Diceros bicornis minor: one gene and its partners. The protein of the gene in region 2 interacts with the protein of the main gene of each other region in a biochemical or structural test. Links are inferred from orthologs where the notes say so. Each region holds a gene or a part of one and is shown on either strand. Other genes may lie near its edges.

What was found.
Region 1: the proteins of EIF2AK2 (region 2) and PRKRA form a complex in vitro, tested with the Homo sapiens proteins (3 studies listed by BioGRID and IntAct, with this or other methods). The link is inferred for Diceros bicornis minor from reciprocal best matches to the Homo sapiens genes EIF2AK2 and PRKRA.
Region 3: of the proteins of EIF2AK2 (region 2) and EIF2A, one has a biochemical effect on the other in vitro, tested with the Homo sapiens proteins (4 studies listed by BioGRID, with this or other methods). The link is inferred for Diceros bicornis minor from reciprocal best matches to the Homo sapiens genes EIF2AK2 and EIF2A.

What each region holds. Positions count from the first base shown.
Region 1 is NC_080749.1:58,885,556-58,892,659, reverse strand, and holds the start of PRKRA (interferon-inducible double-stranded RNA-dependent protein kinase activator A), read left to right. Parts: upstream 1-4,056; 5' UTR 4,057-4,171; coding exon 4,172-4,236; intron 4,237-4,809; coding exon 4,810-4,979; intron 4,980-7,104. Other genes in the region: PJVK (pejvakin), read right to left, coding at 170-311, 837-1,032, 1,779-1,989. UniProt on the Homo sapiens protein: Activates EIF2AK2/PKR in the absence of double-stranded RNA (dsRNA), leading to phosphorylation of EIF2S1/EFI2-alpha and inhibition of translation and induction of apoptosis.
Region 2 is NC_080751.1:46,995,241-47,002,436, reverse strand, and holds the start of EIF2AK2 (interferon-induced, double-stranded RNA-activated protein kinase), read right to left. Parts: upstream 3,049-7,196; 5' UTR 2,853-3,048; intron 1-2,852.
Region 3 is NC_080741.1:4,579,168-4,586,565, reverse strand, and holds the start of EIF2A (eukaryotic translation initiation factor 2A), read left to right. Parts: upstream 1-4,360; 5' UTR 4,361-4,445; coding exon 4,446-4,473; intron 4,474-7,398. Other genes in the region: SERP1 (stress-associated endoplasmic reticulum protein 1), read right to left, coding at 2,211-2,251, 3,424-3,499, 3,729-3,812. UniProt on the Homo sapiens protein: Functions in the early steps of protein synthesis of a small number of specific mRNAs. Acts by directing the binding of methionyl-tRNAi to 40S ribosomal subunits.

The DNA of each region.
Region 1 (7,104 bases), on a different chromosome or scaffold from region 2:
GATTTTTTTCATATTCTAAAACAAACCATTACTGTGGAAAATCCTATATACAACTGCAGCTCTTGAATCTCAACATTTGACAAAATACACATCTCATTAGAAATTGAATACTTTTTAAAAATTCCCATTGCAGCTTTTTAGTAAGAGAAGCCCAATGAGTGTGGTTTACCCGCATGGCTTCCCCACGAATGCCAGCATGCACAGACAGTGAGCATTGTCGTGTGGTTCGAATGCTCTCCATGACCACACACAATACCGCCTTTCTGCTGCTCCTTGACTGACGTATCAAGCTATGGTCAAAATTAATTTTTCTAAAATGAAGAAGAGAGACGTTCACAAGAATCTGTAACATCTAATTACATATAATCAAATACAGTTTTTGCTATCAGGTGTTACTCATGCACAGTCCACCTTAACTAAAAGTAAATCAAGGCAGGCCTAATACAAATCAGAAAGTAAGCTCAAAAGACATTTAATAATCTGCTTTTCCTTTCTATTTTCTTAAAACATGCTTGTTATAGGAGTGTATTGGAGGAGACTCTCTTATATTTGTTGCAAGCAGATTCCTATATTCTTTCAATCCAATAATTTAGCAAATGCGTGCAGAGCCAAAGCCATTTTGTGGAACAATTAAAAATTCTGTTTAAACCAAATGATTGTGGATATCTACCAAAGTTTGCATATATTACTAATTTGTAATATTTCAAACAAATCAAACAAATAAATTACATTAGTAAAATACAACCTGAATGTTTTAAGCATTCTTTGTAATGAAGTTTACGTAATTAAAATATTTAATGAAAACAGTGAAGTATATTAAGGATTATTATACTGACCGTGTAGTGATCTCCTTGAGTAACGTTGATACTTCCACTTCGTGTTTGGTTACTACACCAAACGAAGCTTTTACAGCAATGGAATCTGATCCAGCAACGTTAATCCCAACATCATTCACAATATGGTTGCCTCTCCTTCCGTAGAGTGAGACATCTGATTCATCTTCATAATTCAGTAACTGATAAGACGAAATACCTTTAAGAAAAGGAAATTAATATTTTTTAAATGTCTTGAATTCATCTAACGTAGATTACATATAGTAACACGTTAATTTTCTATTTAAGACTCCATTACTCAAATGTGGAGGAAGGCAACATTTCAAACCAAAATTAAAAATAGCAATTTAATTAATTTGACAACAAAAAGAAATAAATAGCCAGAGTACTTAAAATGAACTCAATTCTATGTTCAGCCAACAGAACTTCTTAGGCATCAAGATCCAATGGGCGGTTGAAAGAACACCAAGTTTTTATAAGAAATAATTTGTCAAAATGTCAATTTATTTTCTAATCCAGCCTCTAATACATTTCACTTTATCAACTGTAATAACTGAATCATAAAAAAATAAATGCAAATTACTTTCATTTCATTTGATCATGTGAGATAGGTAAGAGTAAACAATACCCCATATTATAGATGAAGAATTATATTATGTCATATTCTAAGTTGATTTGGTTAAAACAATTTACAAAATAATTAAAATAAGATTATACAATAATCCTACAAAATAGGTTTGAAAATTATTCAACTAATAAGAGATGTGATACTGTATAAACTTTAGGCATTGTTAATCTTAGTATTATTACTGCCATAGTAATAAAAGTTATTTTTATCAATGAAAATGTGTCAATATTAGGAACATAAGTAGTATATACAATCTATGTTTAGATCACCAATAATATAGCTGAATTAGTCCCTCCCAAACAGACATTTAAACTTACCAGCTGAAATTTCTCTGTCTCCTAGAAGAACATCTTTCAGTGTAAAAGGTGTTGAGGTAAATTTATATCTAGGAAACAGAAAGCATCGCTTTTTTTTTACCACCAGACTTAGAGGTTGGTATTTGTCAGCCTCACTGAGGCTTGGAACAGGAACTAATCTCCCTCCATCTCCAACTTGTTTGACAAAGCTCTTGGTAGCAGCAGCAAACATATTAACATAGTATTAAAACATCATCAACTGCAACCCTCAGATAAGAAATCCATATTTTCAAAGAAAATCAGGCACAAAACTAAGCCTTGCTTGACTTTAAATATAATTATACCTGCTAAAAATACAAAGTATAGTTTCACCAAGTAGTTTACCAGTGTACAATCCACACACACCGCCTCCCCTGGCGTGCTCAGGTAATGAATTATAGATCAACGGTGTAAAATGATATACTAAAAGCAAGTCTAATTTGGAATTGCAGTCTATAGCACTAAAATACACAGAAAACTAATAATTACATTACCAATGTCTTTGATGAGGGTCACAGTTGATAGTGGTTTGCCAGTCTTGAGGGAAGCATATAGCCCTATGGGGAACGATGCAATTTAGGCACTAACATTAGCCCTGGACACCATCTACAGTGGACCTAGTCCAAAGGGAACTCCTTTACAACTCCATCATGCCAATTTTGGCAACAGAAAAGTGCTGTTTGGAATCCTTATGGTATACAGTTCACTGTTTGAGCATTTCATTCATTTTCCCTGTATGCTTACAAAACCAAGTGATTAATATAAAATATAAATTCATAGAATATAAGGAAACAATTGTATGCAGATCTTTGTAAAATACTAAATGAAAGCCGCATTACATAACTGTATACTGACATTTGGGTTTCTTACTCTGAAGCTGGCACATAGACAACATCTCTTTGAAACGGGGTCCTGCTGCATTTATTTTCTTTTTGTTTCATGATTATTATCCCAGTTACTCAACCTTTAAAAAGAGCTATATAAGGTTTTGGCTTGTTTTTAAAGGAATTTTGTGGATAAAAACAAATTTTAGAAACAAACCTGAGTGCTGAAATAATGTATTGCCATAGTTATGTGGATGTTAATATATTTTGAAATAGTGGCTATGTGGTACTTAAAATAAGATATTTGTTAAAACATAACATTAGTGGGTAGTAATCGACATACATACACATATTGAGGGGGTAGGGGGAGGAAGAGAGAATAGGCTTAATTCCAGCCTCAAATAATATAAATCAATTTTACTAGATTCTAGACATTTTTTTCATTTACTTTCAAGCATCCAGGGCTCACGTGCAACCAAAAAAAAAAAAGTTTTTAATAATAGCCCCTCCTGCCAATACCATTGGGCAAAGCAATCTTCCAGAACACCGAGAAAGCACACGAAGTGATTTCTGCAAGTGGCTAGCAAACCCCTAGAAAAGCGATACATCTAATGTCGCTGTCTGACCTCCACCAAAAGTGGTGCATCCCAGGCAAACGCCATTACAACCAACAACACAGGTGTGCAGAAACAACATTTAATTGGAATCAGGTACCATAAGAAGCCTTCGTCTACACGTAATATGTCTTGTAGGGATCCGGTGGCTCAGCATTCTTCTCGCGACCAAAACCTAGAAGACAATGGAGCCCACCTGGCGGGAGAGGAGTGGGGTCTCAGATGTCCTCGCGAGCTCCTAAAGCTCCTGAGGGCCACCGCAGCCCTCAGGAGCGGATATTCCGCCAGTTTCAAGCTTCGGGGCCAGGCCCGGGGAGTGTCTCTAGCAATTTTGCATTTGGAATTTTGAAATCTTTTTCTTAAAGTGACGCAGCCCTCATCCTACGCCCTAACTCCCCCGCCAAAAAAAAAGGTCTAAGCTTCAGGCCTCACACACTGTGAGGCTCGCCCGCCGGACAAGCCTTCTCTCCGGGCAAGAAACGCCCTCCTTTTAAGGACACAGAACTACGGCCTTGCCGGGCCAGGCGCCGATAAGCCGGCGCACCGAAGGGAGGGCCGCGGGCAGGAGCTGAGGACAGCCGGGGCGGGGAGGCCAAGGGGTCTGGAGGGGAGGGCGGGGTCTGGAGGGGAGGGCGGGGCCGGAGCCGGAGAGACCCTGAGCCGGTGGGCGGGGCCGGGCACGGAGAAGGGCCCGCAGCCAGGGCGGCGAGGGGGCGTGGCCGGGAGCCGGGGCGGGCACTGCCACACCGAGGCTCCGCCTCCCCCCCCGCCCGTCCCCTTCGCGAGAGGGACGCAAGCGGGAGGAGAGGAGGAGTGGGAGGAGGGGAGGCGGCGGCGGTGGCGCTGGAGCGCTTCTCTCGGGGACCGGCCGACCGGGGGAGCCAGCACGTCGCCACGCACTGCTCTTCCTCCGGCCGCCGAGCCGTCCCTTCTCGCCATGTCCCAGAGCAGGCATCGCGCCGCGGCCCCACCACTGGAGCGCCAGGACAGCGGGACCTTCAGGTCAGCGCCGGGGCAGTCGAGGCCGAGCCGGCAGGGCCGGGAGTGGTGGGCAAGAGACGCGGGGGCGGGGGAGCCGGCTCTCCAGCGGCATTCTGGGTAAAGCCCCTTCGCGGCGCTTTCGCCCCCGCAGCTGCGGGCGGACCGGCGGGCGCTCGGTCCCGCCCTCTCGGCGGCGCGCGGGCCGGGGTCTGCGGCCGGGCCCCGCCCCTCCTGCGGCCCCGGGCGGTGCGCGGGCTGGGCGGAGGTGGCGCGCGGCCGCCACCCTGAGAAAGGCATTTGTGGGCTTGGTCCTCAGAGGTCGCAGCGCCGGTGCCTGCCCTATTCTGCTACGAATCCCTCCTTCGCGCATTCGAGTTAGCCCCCTAAAGACCTCCCTCGCCCTGCCCGCCGCTGCCCGGTGCCCGCCGCAGCGGGGCAGGGAGGCTGGTGCGCCTCGCCAGCTCGGGCCCTGGCCGCCTGGGACCTTCGGCTCCTCCCGCGTCACCGTGGATAACGATCAGAACTAGCCCCTGTCTGCTTCTGCCTCCCTCTCCGCTTTGGCATGCAAAGCACACCTTTTTCTGGTTTTTGCAGTTTGGGGAAGATGATTACAGCTAAGCCAGGGAAAACACCGATTCAGGTATTACACGAATACGGCATGAAGACCAAGAACATCCCGGTTTATGAATGTGAAAGATCGGATGTGCAAATACACGTGCCCACTTTCACCTTCAGAGTAACCGTTGGTGACATAACCTGCACAGGTCTGTATGCAGTTAACCTAGATGACCAGGCGGGTTGGCGGTCAAGACTTGGTATTGCTTTGCAGTTCGGAAAAGTGCCCTTTTTACCTGAGACAGTGGTGAGGAGCAGCCTCTTGAAACTGAGAGCTCTCATCTCAGGTCATTGGAACTTTCCAAGTTCATCTGATTCTCTCCCTAATTTTCTCTTCCCCAGATACCAAGACAAGCTCAGAAACATACCTTAGGACTCTCCTATGGTTCTTCCTAGAATTAGGGAGAAGCAGGAAAGGTTCTTAGACTCACTAGGCACTTTGGGCCCCTTGCACCACACTCGATTCTGTATCCAAGCAAAATGAGGAAGGCAGAAGGCTCAACTACACTATATTGCATAGCATCTTCTAGTTCCTGATACTATACAGATATTTAATACGTTATCTCTTTTTTATACATGAGGAAACAGGTTCAGAGAGATCATAAGTAATGTGCCCAAAGTCACATAGCATCGAAGTTTCAGAGTTCAAACTCAACTTTATTATGGTCTGTGAACTTGAGCAACTGACAACTGAAGTTGCCCGTTTGTAAATGTAGACATTTTATTTCTTAGGTATCTTATTTAATTGAAACATAAAAAATATTGAATACTAAATTTAATTTGGAATAATGCCAAGAAAAAAATTCAGCAGGAAGGCTGAAGTTCTACCATCTGGTCATCTGAGGCCGTCATTTGTTTGTGTCCCTGAAAAGCTGGAGTCCGCTATTTTCATTGAAGCCACTTTAAGAAAATTTTGAAGCTTTTTTGTTTATATGAGGCAGGTGGATTGTAGGTGCCAGCTGGAAGTTTCCTCATATGAACCATAGAATCAGCATTGCATTAGTGCTTTAGCTGGTCTATTTTTAAGTGTTCAGTGAAAATTCAAGAAAAAGTAGCCTTTTTTCCCTCAGTGTGTTTTAGACTGGAGCCTAACAATCTATGGTAACCATTCTGCCTTGGCCCCCTACCCTTCTCACACTGCCCTGTCTTCCTGTGCAAGCTTATCTGCCTCCACAGCTTCAAATACTATCTAAAGGCCGATAATTCTGAAATCTCTATCTTCAGCCCAGGCCCAGTTACAGAACAGTGTATCAGCCTGTGCTTGCTGGGCATCTTTGTTAGGATGACCTAAAGGCACCTCAGTCTCTCATTGTCCCAAACTGAATCCATCTTCTTTTTTCTCACATCCATTCCCCAACCCAGTAAAGGCACCACCACCACTGATTTTCTCACAGTAGAAATCTGTATTTCATCTTCTTGACTCCTTCTCCTTGTCCAGACTGTCACCATCTCCTACTTCCTAAATATCTCTTGCATCTGTCTGCTTCTCTCGTTTTCCCATTGCTACCGTCTGGGCCACTGTCATCTCCCACTTGGAATATAGCTACAGTCTTGTAGCTGCTCTTTCAGCTTCTAGTCTTGTGATGTCCATTCTCCACAGGACAACCAGAGTGTTCTCTCTGGCGTCCACATCTGTTCATGTACTTTCTCTTCTTAAAATCCAGTCAGTGGTTTCCCATCAACCTCTGGACAAATACAAATTTCTTAACATGACTTACAACCTTGTTTCTCAAAATGTGATCAACAGCAGCCTTGATATCACCTGGGCACATGATGGAAATGCAGAATATCAGGCCCCATGCCAGACCTACTGGATCAGAGTATGCATTTTAACAAAATTCCCAGGCAATTCCTATGCACGTTAAATTTGAGAAACACAAATTTAGGATACTATTCCTTAATCTCTCCCTCTCCCGTCCAACTCTCTCGCCTTTTATCTGAAAATTCCTCCCCTTGGGCTCTTACTGTACCCACCTACTTGGGGCTCTTGAGCACACCCTGCTCTGTGTTGCCTCTGAGCCTTGGCAGGGGTCTTTTCTCTGTCTAGAATGCTCTTCCAAACCCCCAGCTCTCTTCACTCTGCTAGCTTTTACTGATCTTTCAGGTCTCCATTTAGTTACCTCTTCCTTCTTGAAACCTTTCTGAATCCTTCCCAAGAGTCGGGAGCTGCGCCTTTCATGTGCCTCCTACAGCCTGCACTGAGGCCTGTCGTAACACATACTACTCCATGTTTCAGATGCCTGTTTACAGACGAAATCCCTCACGAGGCTATGC
Region 2 (7,196 bases):
GAACACTTAGATAGTGCATAGGTTAATGAGAAAATGATTCATTAAAATTAAATATTCCACTTTAAACCTCCTCACCTTCTCCCTTTTCTTCATCTGCTGTTTTCTTTGCATCCTTTCATCACTCATTCAATAAATGCTCATCGAATGTCAGGCACTGTTCTGACATTGAGTATACAGACGTGAACAAGTCCCTACCTGCATTCCAACGAGGGAAGAAAGAAAATGACCACGTCCAGTAACAAACAAAGGAGAGGATGAGAGGATGACCAGAAGGATGAAATTAAATAGGGGTGCAGGATAGAGGGTGCATTGGTAGGTGGGCGCAGAGATATGAGGGAAGTGGTTTTAGATACAGTGGTCAGGGGAAACCCTTCTTAGGAGGCAACACTGAAATCAAGCCTGAATGATGAGCGAGTCCATCATACCAAGATCTGGGGGAGAGTATCTTAGGCAGAGGAAACACTGAGGCAGGAACCGGCATAGCATTTGGAAGGATAACAAAAAGGCCAAGGGGATGTGCTGCACAGGTAACGAGGAGGAAAGGGTAGGACATGAATCAGAAAGGCAGGCAGGTGCCACGGCACAGAGACCTTGTAGGTCACGGTCAGGACTGTGGATGTTACTCCAATTGCAATAGGAAGCTATTGGAGGGATCTAAACAGAGGGCTGATGTGACTGGGTTTATGTTTTAAACGATGACTGATGTTTGTAAAGAACAGAGTATGCGGGGCTGGGTGTGGAAAGGGGAGCAGAGCATGAGTAGAAGGAGGGAGACCATGTAGAGGCTGCTGCAGAGGTTGGGTGAGCAACAGTGGTGGCTGGAAGCAGGGTCTGGAAGTGCCAGGAGTCCGAGCAAAGGCAACGCCTTCACATTCCTGCCTAGTGTGGTGGACTGAGTCAGGCTTTAGAGCCACACAGACCTGGGCTAAATCCTCTCTGGACCTTTGATTAGTGACCTGAAAACGTGATTCACAGGTTGTTGCAAGGAGTAAATCAGATGAAAAGCATCCAGCAGAGTCCCCCACACCATTGGCTTCAATAAATGGTGCTCCTGGTCTATAATTTCGAAATCCAAAAAGCACTATAAACTGAGGTTTATTTTGTTTATAGTGGGTTTGTAGTCCCCTGTCTAGACCTGAACTGACAGGAGCTATTTAGAGTCTTTATGATACTTTGTTGTCTATCTATACACTTCCCTGCAGAAATGTGTTTTATTATAGAGTGTTGCCCCCAAATCCTGCTGAGAATATCATATAATAGATAGGATTTATGCTGCCCTGCCTTTCTAAAATCCAAAAATCTCTCAATACAGGAACATACCTGACCCAAGAGTTTCAGATAAGGCTCCGTAGACCACCATTATTTTCAGGAACCAAAGTGTCATTCAGTTTAGTCACAACAATGAGACCATACACCAAATTGGAGGGGGTCACAGATCTCAGAACAGCAGTTATGGAAGAGTCCTTAGCAATTATTTAACCTGAAGACCTATCGAATGCTCTAAATCCTCAGCACTTTTAACTCTAAGTAACTGCTGATCATCAGAATGACAAGCCAGTCTGACTCTAAGTGAAATATATGTGTAAACTAATAAGGTGCTGAATTGGTATGTTTGAAAAAGTACTTACAAGTTTGGAAGAAAAGAAACAGTAGGTTTCTTTTCAACTATTTTAAATAAATCTTGTTTTAATTCTGTGTTACCATGTTCCTAAAAGAAATCACCATAATCACAAACAAGTGTTATATGTCCATCTTACTCATGCCCAGAAGCCACTTTGGCTGGGAGTCTTGATCCCTTCTGCCAGACTGCAGCCCCCTGGGGCTCAGCCCCTCCAGGGCCTACACAATGCTTGGCATACAACACACATTCCACCGGTACCTGATTAGTGAGATGAATAAACTACAGGTCGAGTGTTATGGATCTTCAGGTTCAAATAAGCAAACTGAAGAACAAGAGTATAACCTGCCCAAGATTCTAGGTTCCTGAGTGACAGCAGGGAGTGCACCTTTAGCTTCCACCTGGCAAGGTATCTTTATACTAAAGAAATCACAGGCAATAGGAAGTCTCACTAATCCAGAATTCAAAAGACAATTTATGAATTGCCATTCATTAAATAAATATTTAATGAGCATCTGTGATGTACTAGGTGCCGGGATTATACCAGCGAACAAAACCCTGCTCTTGTGAATTTACGAGTGGAGGAACACGGACAAGCCTATAAAAAATGCTACAGGGTGCTAAGTACCATGCTGAAAACCAAAGCAGAGCAACGGGGACAGCGAGGGAAGGGTGGGGTTTCTTTTATATGCAGGTGGTTCAGGGAAGGCTGCTCTGATAAAGCGACACTGGAAGAAGCGCAGGTTAGAGCGGGGGACTGGCTCCTGCAGGCATCCGGGGGAAGAGCTTTCCGGGAAGAAGAAACAGACAGTGCGAAGGCGCAGCGGCAGGAGTGTGCTTGGCTGTACCCCAAGAACAGCAATGAGGCCTGTGTGGTCAGAGTGGAGGGAGCAAGGAGCCTTGCCTGTGGGCCGATAACCGTTTATAGGATTCTGACGAGATGGCAAGCTATTGGGGAGGTGTGAGCCGGGGAGTGTCCTGTTCTGCTTTACAGGAACGCTCCGGCCGCTGCGGTGTTGGGGGGCCGGGTTACAGAAACGGGCGGGGGCTAAGGCCGGGAATGGCGAGACAAGTGCTACTGTTCAGGCCAGAGATTTTTGGCTAGGGATTATTTAGGCAATTTGGGGGTAATTCAGGCCTCCATATTTTCCATCTGTCTGTCAAGTTAGAGGGCGTATCTGTTTTCCACCAGCCCCCCCGCCCCCAACCCGGGCCTGGGCTATTCGTCACTTACTCGGATAAAAATGCTTCGCGGGACGATAACGGCTCTCGGTTCCCACTGCCCCGCACGATCCGGTGCCCAGATCCGGGACGGGCCCTGCACCTCGGCTGCGGGCCTCGGAGCGCGCTGCGGGTGGGGGTCGGGGGCCTCTCACCGGCGCGCAGGACGCGTCTGGGGATGCGGACGGCGCGCGCTCGGCCCCCGGCGCTGCCCGCTCACCCGCGCCGCTGCCGCCCGCTCAGCCGCTGCCGCCCGCTCACCCGCGCCGCTGCCGCCCGCTCACCCGCGCCGCTGCTGTCCGCGGAAGCCCGGCCGGAGCGGCGCCGCTCGCTCTCGGTTTCGTTTTCCCGGCGGACTCCGCCTCCCGCTGCGGCCGCCCGCCCCTCCCGCACAGGCCCGCACTGGCCCCGGGCCGCGGGGCGGGCTCGGCGCCCACGTGCCCGGGACCCGGCGGCCCCCACCCCGGCGTCTGGGGTTGTAACTGGCCCCTGTGCCGGCAAGGGTGAGGAGGACACCCCAGGCGCTCGCTCGCTGAACTGGGCTCTGGGATCAACGATCCCCTTTCCTCTTCAACGCAAACCTTTGAGGTGGGATTGGGGATGTGGATATGATCGGCTCCATTTTACAGTAGCAGAAACTGAGTCAATTATCTCACCCAGGGTCCTGACTCTGGAAAGTGGCAAAGCCAGGATTCCATTGAAGGGCCCTGCACATCAAAGCACCCCTCCCTGTCGTCACATTGACAAGGCTGGGGATGAAGAGGCCAGAGGGCATAATCTTTCTTCAATCTGTATCCACCCATCCATCCAGTTACTTGCCAGCCGCTGTACCAAGTACCGCCCAGGCCAGCAGTTACGCAAGCCACCTGCTCCCTGCGGCACCTCATGGAGTTTACGACCAAAGACTTTACCAGTAGTCCTCGGTTTTTAAGAAATCCTACTCACCTAATGGACTATGACACACTCCCACAGTAATACTGGCTCACTGACACAGCGATTGAGGAGTCTGAGGACTTAGCTCACAACAATACTGCAAGGTAGGTGCTGTTACTATGCCCATTTAACAGATGAGAAAATTGAGGCCTGAGGCTCAGAGAAGTTAACTAACACAGCTAGTAAGCGGCAGAGCTAGATTTAGAACCAGGAGTCAGCACCCTCAACATCTTAGCTGAGGTGAGGGAGAGAGGTGGTCCCGGGATGGACCTCAACTATACATTAACTGTTGGGCACTAGCTCTGGGCATCCTTTCCTACTTCTCTGCTATATTCTCTGCTATTGCAGAGTATCAATGGCTAAAAACTATATTTCCCTTGAAGCACTCAGGTCCTGGGGCATGATTTAAGCTCCCAAAATGTGAAGCACTGGTGGGAGGTTTGGAAGGCAGGCAGGAGGCAGAGCCATCTTTAATCGTGTGTAACCTATTCATTCACTCCCTATCTATGTCCCCCAAGAAGATCCAGAGGACCCTCCTGCACCACTCGTTGAGAAATACATTGGAGTGGGGAACATCAGCGTCCTTGGGCAGCCACTGTAGGTGGGGAATGTCTATGGGAGATGCTGCCATTGAAAAAAGCTCCCTGATTTCAGTGGTGATTATGGCAATATCTAAGATCCCCATGGCACTCCCTCCTGCTCTATCAGCCCGCATCTGTGAACTCATGTGGAGTTGCCTGTGGCCAGATGATTGAGAAAGAAAAATCTGAATGAAGCACAATACACTGGCATTAATCAGAAGTGGATTGATGTATTACTATAGCCCCTCTGGGAGGTGGCCCTAAAAGATAGTGGGAGAAAGGCAATCCTCCCAGTGGGCAAAACTTTGAGCAGTACATTTAGTTGTCACTTGGAAGGAGAGAAAGCCAGTGGCTTGGACAGAACCAGTGGCTAGCAATTTAGCTGGATATTCAGAGATTTGGAAGGAACAAGATCAGAGGGTTGGTGACACGGAGGTCTGGGGAAAATGATGTGGGTGAAACTGCTTCTGGATGTTGCAGGTTCATCATGCCATCAAGCCATCAAGAAAATAAGGGGGTTGGGCCAGCCCTGTGGCTTAGTGGTTAAGTGCACGTGCTCCGCTGCTGGCGGCCCAGGTTCGGATCCCGGGCGCGCACCGACACACTGCTTCTCCGGCCATGCTGAGGCCGTGTCCCACATGCAGCAACTAGAAGGATGTGCAACTATGACATACAACTAGCTACTGGGGCTTTGAGGGGGGGGAAATAAATAAATAAATAAATAATTAAAAAAAAAAAAGGAAAATAAGGGGGTTACCAAACTGGCTGGGCTGACTGATACGAATTACCAAGAGAAAATAGTGATGCAGCCACAGTGCTGTCAGGGACGAGTATGTCTTCAAACCAGGGGTTTCTCTGAGGTTCTTTTTAGTAATTCCATGTTCAATGATAAATGTTAGTGGAAATCTACAGCTGTCCAACACAGGCCAGACTGTTAAGGGCTCAGATGCTTCAGGATTGAAGGTTTGTGTCACTCTACCAGCTGGGCAGGTGTGTGAGGGCAAAGGGAACAATAAATAAGGAAGTTATAACTGACTATGGTCTCATGACCAGTTGAAGAATAAAGGACCATAGAACCTACACATTTTTTCTTCCTGCTTTGTTTTTATATGTATTAATGAACTTCTTTTGATTGTTTTTCCCTTTCCTTTTACATGAGATTTGTTGATGGTGGTTCATTTTATAAGATAGTCTTTAGGTAAGAGTGTTTGAAGGTGGGATTGTGACTAAAATAGAAGAGGAAGGGACATCATGTAGAAATGAGTATCGAGATTTAGGGGATAGGATAAGCATGTTTTCATTTGAAGGAGGGAACAGCTTCATTAGGTGGGAGAATAGTTTTGTCATTTGCTTGAAAGATTATTGGTAAAAGGGGTGGACTATATTAGATACTGTTAATTTTTATTTAGTTTCCATTCTCACTCCCTTCTGTGTCTCCTCATCTCCTGGGTTATAATGTGTGGAAGGTTAAAACCACATTTTCCAGATTTCTAGGGAGTTAAAATTCGAGATATAATTTGAATTCTGCCAATGACTGATGAGCAGTGGTGCAAGATTTGGAAGACAGAAAGGAAGAGAAGGCCATCTTTCTGTGACAGAACGGGCTGACAGGCAAGCTCTCAGGCCCAGGGGTGTTTGCAGGAGCAGGACTCCAGCTACCCTTCTCAGTTCTCCAAGGGTATGGGGCATCTGTGGTGGCAGCAGTGATGGCAGCAGTGGCAGTGGCAGGGTCTTGAACTTTGGATGGCAGCTACACTGGAAGTCTCCTGATTTCCATTCTGCCATCCCTTCTAACAATTATGTGTTCATTTCCTACTAAATCTTTCTGCTTGACATACTTACAGTGGTTTCTGTTTCTAGTACTGAACAAGGAGAAACCGCCCTGAAAATGGAGCCTACGCTGAGGGAATAAAGTTGAGAAGTGAAGATTAAGAATCAGATCCTTGCTTGAGCTCTGGATCAAGCCTCACCTGAAGCCAGACTCATCCTAGACTGGTCAGTGATAAGAGCCCTCTACCTCTTTTCCTTTCTACTATAAACCAATTTGTGTTTGATTTTCTGTTTGCTGCATCAAAAGCATCCTAACTGATCTGATATTCTAAAAAAACCTTCTTGGAAAAAAAATCTCATTAATTTATTCAATAAATATTTATTGAGTGCCTACTATGTGCAGCACTGTGCTAGAAACACAATGATGTACTTTGTTTAGAGTTTTTATCATGAAAGATGTTGAATTTTGTCAAATGCCTTTTCTGCATCTGTTGAGATTATCATATGATTTTTATCCTTCATTTTGTTAATGTGGTGTATCACATTTATTGATTCACATATGTTCTACCATCCTTGCATCCCTGGAATGAATCCCACTTGACCCTGGTGTATGATCCTTTTAATGTATTGTTGAATTTGGTTTGCTAATATTTTGTTAAGGATTTTTGCATGTATGTTCAACAGAGATATTGACTATAATTTTCTTTTCTTGTAGTACCCTTGTCTGGCTTTGGTATCAGGGTAATGCTGGCTTCATTAAATGAGGTTGGAAGTGTTTCCTCCTCTTCAATTTTTGGGAAGATTTTGAGAAGGATTGGTATTAATTCTTTACATGTTTGGTAGAATTCATCAGTGAAACCACCTGATCATGGACTTTTCATTGCTGGGAGGTTTTTGATTACTGATTCAATCTCTTTATTAGTAATTGGTCTGTTCAGATTTCCTGTTTCTTCATTATTCAGTCTTGGTAGGTGGTATGTTTCTAGGAATTTATCCATTTCTCCTAGGTTATCTAATTTGTTGGCATATAATTGTTCATAGTAGTTTCTAACAATCCTTAGTATTTCTATGTT
Region 3 (7,398 bases), on a different chromosome or scaffold from region 2:
GAAGAACTGTGCTTCTTCTTGACCCAGACTTGGATAACGAGATCAGGGTACAGCCTAGGTGGGAAAGTATTTAATTCATTGTGCTTTTTATGTATTTTTATTGCTACCTAGTCCCAGTTTTAACGTTAAATCTGTGCCTCTGGGAAGTATTTCTTTTAACTCAAGTACAACATACTACTACACATTCTTTAAAATCGTTTTCTATTAACTATAAAAAGCACTCTCAGATAAGAACTCTGTAAAATCATTTCCTTTTAGAAGGCATCAAATATTCACGGAACTTTATTTTTAAAGGATAAATCAAATAAGACATAGCTTTCATTGTCCCAAACATGCATAATCCATCCTTAATATAAAATGCGCTCAATTGGTAAATCACACATGAAATACAAAGGGAATGCAACTTTACATACGTAGAATGATGGCCAGCTATAGCAATTTAACAGTCAAATTAATACACTGTGTATTAAAAAAAAAAAAACCCAACATCTTAAAGCCAATTATAGTAAACCAAGGGAAATTCTGCCATGGAATGGTTTGACTCAACGCAAAGAATAAGGCACCTGCTATGAATTTACAGTAACTTTCATTTTTAAAGTTACAATAATATAGAATGTTAACTAAGACACTTGTTTCAAAGAGGGAAACAAGCACAAGGGTTGATTTCCTGGGTGAGAACGGCAGGTAACAATGCAGATACTGGCCCAAGGTCAGCTGACTCCTTTTCTATTCCAGAGTAGTCCAGTTCCTCAACATCCTTAACAGCTCCTCTCCCTCACTCCCCACACTCCGGGGTATCAGAGGCTCTCTCTGAGGTGCACACCCTGTGTAGACTAGGTAGCACATTTCCCTTCTGTTCCTCTTAAAATAGCTTATTTTAAAAGAGATATCCTGAGGCAATTAACAAAGCAAACAAGCAGCGTTCTTTCCAATTCATGAATGCACAGCCACCTCTCGGGCTTTCTCCATCACCATATGGCTAAGGATTTGCATGGCCGATGCCTGCAATTTTCAATAGTACCAGAAAACCCAAAACCTGCCTTATTACTCACCCTTACCATTAGTAAAAAGAAAGTTTGATCAATCATAACCTACAAAATCAAACAAAGGGAAGACTAAAGACTGACCCTTATCAGTAAATCCATTCAATTCCAGATGAGTCTGATCTACCTAGTACCCTAACAGAATTCTAATCATAAATCTAGAAAAAGCATTTCCAAACTAAGTCTCACTGTTTAGTAGATGTGCCCTTTTTTGGTATTAAAAGTGCTGTTAACATGCTAACATGTCTTATGGCACACTGGACTCAACAGTATGTCCTGACGAGGCATCCATTTTTAGTAGTATTTTCCCCTAAAATGTTGTCTAGCATAGTAGATCCCTCCTTGATATATTAAAGTAATTCTGGTGAAATCAATGGTGACATAAGCAAAGCTTCCCTGACTCAACTCCACCATGGTAGCTTTCAGCGACACTGAAGTGACTGATGAAGTTACAAAACGCTAAACCAAGCTGTTTTCTTATGGCATCTTAGGTTAGTATATTCCCTCATGCAAAATCCAAGGTAGTGTCATAGAAATAATATCATTAAAACAGATGTTGTAGCTATAAGCATCTCTCTTTAGGCATTTAGAAGCTTTTAAAAATTTTTAGGTGCTCAACATTGTGGGAAAACTAGGCTAACTGTGTAGTTGTTCCATTTATAAGCACTTTATTACAGGACAGTTACATGACCCTATATGGGAGTGTGCTTTCAATTCAAAATATAGTAATAAAGTGCCTAACTATATAAAAACCGTAAGATACCGAATTTTAAATTAAACTAATTGCATCTACACATTAGAGTTAACAAAATCTAGACCCTGTCTACACAGATTTAATCTAATTATCTACATTGTATACTGTTTTAATAACCACATTAAAAAAAACTTACTTTTTACTGACTGAATAAGTAGGGTCCACTACTGTAGCTTAACAATCACATTTTATTGCTTTATTCATGTGGTGCTTTTGCAAGGCACTGTGGTATGGACTAGAAAACTTGGAATGACTCGTGAAGAAACCTTGGAATGACACATGAAGGATGGTATGAAAAGTCATTCTGAGGCAGGATGCTTTACTGAATTGTTTTTTAACCAGGGTATCAAACATCAGGAACGAGTTCAAGTTAAAATTCACAGGAGAATGGAAACATCTTAAGGTCAGTCACTTCACATGCCCATCCTGATACTTTGAATAATCTGGAAAATTGCTGTAAAGAGAAAGAGCAAATATTAAAACATGCTTTGAATAAAACAGGTCTTGCAACTGACAAATATTTATTAAGGTACTTCAAGAATCCAAAAGTACCCTTACGATTACTGGCAAATGATCTGTATTTTCATTGTAGTAAGGAGTGAAAACAGGCCTGCCTGCCTTAATAAAACAATTAAACGTCTGCAAGTTATTTATTTTAAATCTCAGCTTCTCTGAATTTTGTCTACCTGTCCAAGAGAGTTGGCAAATAAGCCATCATTTTAGAAAGAACTTAAAGCATCCAAGCAAACGGGTTTTTCTAGCATAGAATTATTTTGGTTTATCCCTAAATATTAAATGTCCTTTGATGGCCTGGCCTATAATATACACTTGTTTCCTCATTCTCACAAAGCTGAAATTCAGTAATCTTTAGGTTATATAAATTGCTTGGCTCTTGGCCATTTATCAGGAAAGCTTCCAATTGGTAAGTTTAGGAGACAGGCAACATGGACTTCAATATCAACAACGTGCATATTAAGATAATAAAGGAAGAGGAAAGACATCTTGTAATCCATTTGCAGAGACAAGAGTCTATTACTCTAACAGCAAGCTGCCCTGATAACTAATTTTTCCTACCATATGTCAAACGTTTCTTTTATTAATCTAAAAACATTTGTCTCACACATTAAATTGCCAATCAGGTACGTTTCCTCTAGAATGAATCAATTCTTTGCACTAGCTTTAGTCTATAAATATACCCAATTTTGACATAAAGACGTTAGATTCTGGCACATGTAAAATTAAATTCAAACATCCATATGTGCACGATATCCCTCAGCCTCTTTTCTGCAAAGGCATTGATAGTGGGGGTTGCAAAGCATTCCAAATTCTCATTCCATGAGGTATTTTTGTTTTGGTCTAAATGTCTTCCAACTCGACCATTCCTAAGGCCCTGACCTCCTTTTCTGATCTCCTGTGAGCACAAATCAAACTGGGAGAAGTTTCTGGAGCACTGCCCTCTTGTACATATGTGGGACAAGTAATTTGGTTCAGACGGAACAGAATTATGTGGCGCTCCCGGCAGGTGGGTTGAGAACTCTGCGGGGAGGATTCACCACTGATGGGTCACCACGTCATCCCAACCCGTCACCCAACACCCTACCGGCGGGCAGCCCCCAAAACACTTACCAGAACCACAAACAACAAAAATGAAGAGAGCCAATAACCAGGGTCCTACAGACGCCTTCTCTTCGGGAGCATTTCTCTGCAAAAGGGAAAATCCGCAGTTTCAAATGCAAAACACCGCTGGGCCCCCGGGCTCCCGCCGCCGCCCCCGGGCCGGGTCGCCGGGTGCCCTCCCCTGCAGGTCTGCCCGCCCCTCCCGAGCCCCAGCGAGCGGCCGGCTCGCAGCCCGGGCCCCGGGTCGGCCGCTCCGGGAGCAGAGGGACGCGGCCCCGGCCCGGCCTGGGCGCCGCGGAGCGCGCGCCGCTCACCGAGGTCTTGGCGACGTTGCCGCGCTGGGTGATGTTCTTGCTGTGCTTCTCGTTGGCCATCCGGATCCGCTGCTTGGCGACCATCTTCGCGGCGCCGCGCCCGCCCGGCAGCCGGACTCCTCGCGCTCGCCCCGCTCGGCCGCTGCTGCGCTGCGCTCGGCTCCGGGGCCCGCGCCGCCGGGGCAGGAGGCTCTCGGGTGCGCGGTGCGGCCGCGGGCCTGGGCGGAGCGGGGGCCGCCGACCGACCGACGACGCCGACCGGCCGCCGAGCGAGGCTGGCGCGCGGCAGGAGGAGACGGGCCGCCGGGGACCCGCGCCGCCGCCGGGAGCGTGGAGGAAAGAGGAAGGGGACGGGAGCAACAACCGGACGGTGCAGCCCAGCGCCTCGAACTGCTTCGGGTTCGGCTGCCAACGTCAGCACCGGGCGGGCTCCGCCCCGCGGAAGGGCGGGCTGCGCCGGCCCGAGAGGAGGGAGAGGGCGGGCGCACGGGCCCCGGCCCGGCCCGCCCACGCTCTGAGAAGCGTCGCCCCGCCGCTGCGCCTGCGCGGCCCGGCTCCTTTTCCGCGGCGCTCTCCAACCGGAAGTGAATTGGCCCCGAGGCTGGTGGCCCCGGAAACGCCAATTCGCCGTCTCTAAGCGTGAGGAGACGTGTAGGGGACGGGTTCGGCCCTCGTGAACTCTGACCCGAGCGCACGGGTTTCTCTTTCCGGGACAAGATGGCGCCGTCCACGCCGCTTCTGACAGGTAAGTTGTGAATGAGCAAAGGACTGTTTCTTCAGCGCAGTTTCTTTTGTGTCCTTGCCCTTGGGGACTACCCGGGAAGCCTTGGAATCTGATCCGCGCTTTCTCGTGCATTGCGGCGGAGCCGAGGGCCTTCGGGCTTCTCCGTGTAGCGTGGCAGTCGGAAGTGAGGCCCCCTCGGGCTCCCGCATTCCCCCTCCCTTTTGCTCATCCGTCATTCTTCCCGGCCGCTTCCCGGATGGAGGAAGGAGGGTGATGACAGCAAGTGCCAGCTGAATTTGCTACCCTGGGTCTGTAGTACTGGAGTTACACGAACGCTTACCTGGTGACAGGCCTTGTTGAAGTCCTTTAGCTCTGTAGTAAGGAAAAAACAAGCGTATGACCCAGTTCACTAGAATGACCGACCACACGTTAAATACGCGTGAATTTAGGTAATACCAAACTCGGTACTCCTTGTTTAATGAAATTTGTAGGACTTAGTGGAGAGAGTGGAGCTGTGGTAGTGTAGGTTTCAGGTGATCAAAGTGTGTTTTGGGGTGGTAGCAGTGAGCATTATAGAGATAATCTGGCAACGTTTGGTGTTGAAGTGGTTATGAGCCTTATAGAATTAGAAATTAGAGGATTCCTGAGATTTTGAACCTGAGACAGAGTTTATAATGTTGAAGAAGGTGATAAATTTAGGCTTTCACAATGTCAGGGAAGACTGGACTAGGGTAATGGCTGAGTGTCTCATATATGAGTATGAAGTAAGGAGAGGGAAGTTGGGAGGGAAAAGAATAGAAGGCTTCAAGTCACTGATAACTTAACTTATATAGAAGGAAAAAGGAGTCAGTAAGAGAAAGATTGTCCACTTTTGAGGACTGGGGATTATTTCCCCTGAGACTTGGAAGGAAGAACCTTAACAAGCTTTCACACTTTTTGCCATTCTACGTTTTAAGGTCTTTGTTATCAAGCATCATGCCCACTCATATTCAATCCGGCTACCACAGTTCATTCATCAAACATTTATCAAATACTGACTATAATTTGTTAGATAATATGCCAGGCAGATACAGTTTAAAAGTCATAATTACATACTAGATGAGTTTTTTTCTCTAGGTTCATAAAGGTAGCTTGTATCTTATTCATAATTTTGAAACACTAAATGCTTATTTGAAGTCTAACAAAAAAAAATTAGTACATTTTAAAATCTGACTAATTTTCTCCCCTTTAAAAATCCTTACAGTGACTCCTTACAGGGTAGATTCCATCCTGTTTGGCATAGCAGGTGGAACCCTTTATAATCGTTGAATAGCTCTTAATATTCATTTATTTCCTTGCCACCCCATCCTATTTTGTGCTCCATCGATATTGAACTGCTTATAAAGTCCTTGAACAACCTATTTCTTCAGTCTAGGACTGTTGCTCTTGGTTTGGCTAACTTCTTTCATCTTTTAAAATTCATTTCAGACATTATTGGTTTGTGAAGCCTTTCCTCACTCTTCCCAGGTAGTCACTCCCCAGGCTATTTTCATAGCTTGTATATACTTGTTTTTTTTTTTTCCCCCCACTCGTCACATAGGATAACTACCTAGTTGTTTAGATGCTTTTCTCCCCTGCTAGACTGAACTCCTTGATGGCAGAGGTAGGGTCTTATTCATCCCTGCCTTCTCAGTACCAAGTACAGTGCCTGTTAAACAATAAACACTCTAAATGATTAATGGAGGAATAAATTAATGAAAGATAACCACTTCATTCATAGTCAAATTAACCAAGAATGACAATTTTTCTTACAATGCTTAAAATCAAGGACTTTGTAAGCGTTTAAAGGAATCATATAGTCTCAATACACTGCATTAAGCTGTCTCCACATTCTATTCACTGTTTTGCATTCAGTCCCTTCTAATTAAAATGAATTCCTAATTAGAAAGTCATATGTAGAAAAAATTGTTGCAGTTATTGAAAAGATTTTGTTTTGAGTCCATATTTATTTTTGCTTTTTATTAACTTGTAATACAGTTTATGTTTTGTTATGAACCTGATTTTGTGTTCCTTCTAATAAACTTTGTATATCCATTTATTAAAATTTGTGTAAGAAATTGCTCAAACTAATTAAATCCAATAAAGCATCTTAGTGGCTCCAAAATGTCTTGCCATACTTTCTCACAGTTATGCTTCTCTGTAGGGAGATGTGAAATAAAACATTCGTTTAATTTTTTTTTTATTTTATTTATTTATTTTTTTTCCCCCAAAGCCCCAGTAGATAGTTGTATGTCATAGTTGCACATCCTTCTAGTTGCTGTATGTGGGACGCGGCCTCAGCATGGCCGGAGAAGCGGTGCGTCGGTGCGCGCCTGGGATCCGAACCCGGGCCACCAGCAGCAGAGTGCGCGCACTTAACCGCTAAGCCACCGGGCCAGCCCCTAATTTTTTTTTTTGTGAGGAAGATCAGCCCTGAGCTAACATCCATGCCAATTCTCCTCTTTTTGCTGAGGAAGACCGGCTCTGAGCTAACATCTATTGCCAATCCTCCTCCTTTTTCTTTTTCACCTTTTCTCCCCAAAGCCCCAGTAGATAGTTGTATGTCATAGCTGCACATCCTTCTAGTTGCTGTATGTGGGACGCCGCCTCTGCATGGCCAGACAAGCGGTGTGTCGGTGTGCGCCTGGGATCCCAACCCGGGCTGCCAGTAGTGGAGTGCGCGCACTTAACCACTAAGCCACGGGGCCGGCCCCAAAATATTTGTTTTAAATAGTAGTTTATATGTATGGACAAAAGTACAATGACGTCATACAATTTTTATGATGAATTCAACTGATAATTAGTTCCCCTAAAATAGACATAGCTATCGTAAAGGACCAACAGTGTCATCAGTCTTTAAAGTAGCTTTGATGTGTACTTTTGTCTGATGGAATGTGTTTTTAACTTAGTACAGAAATCTTGGTCTAT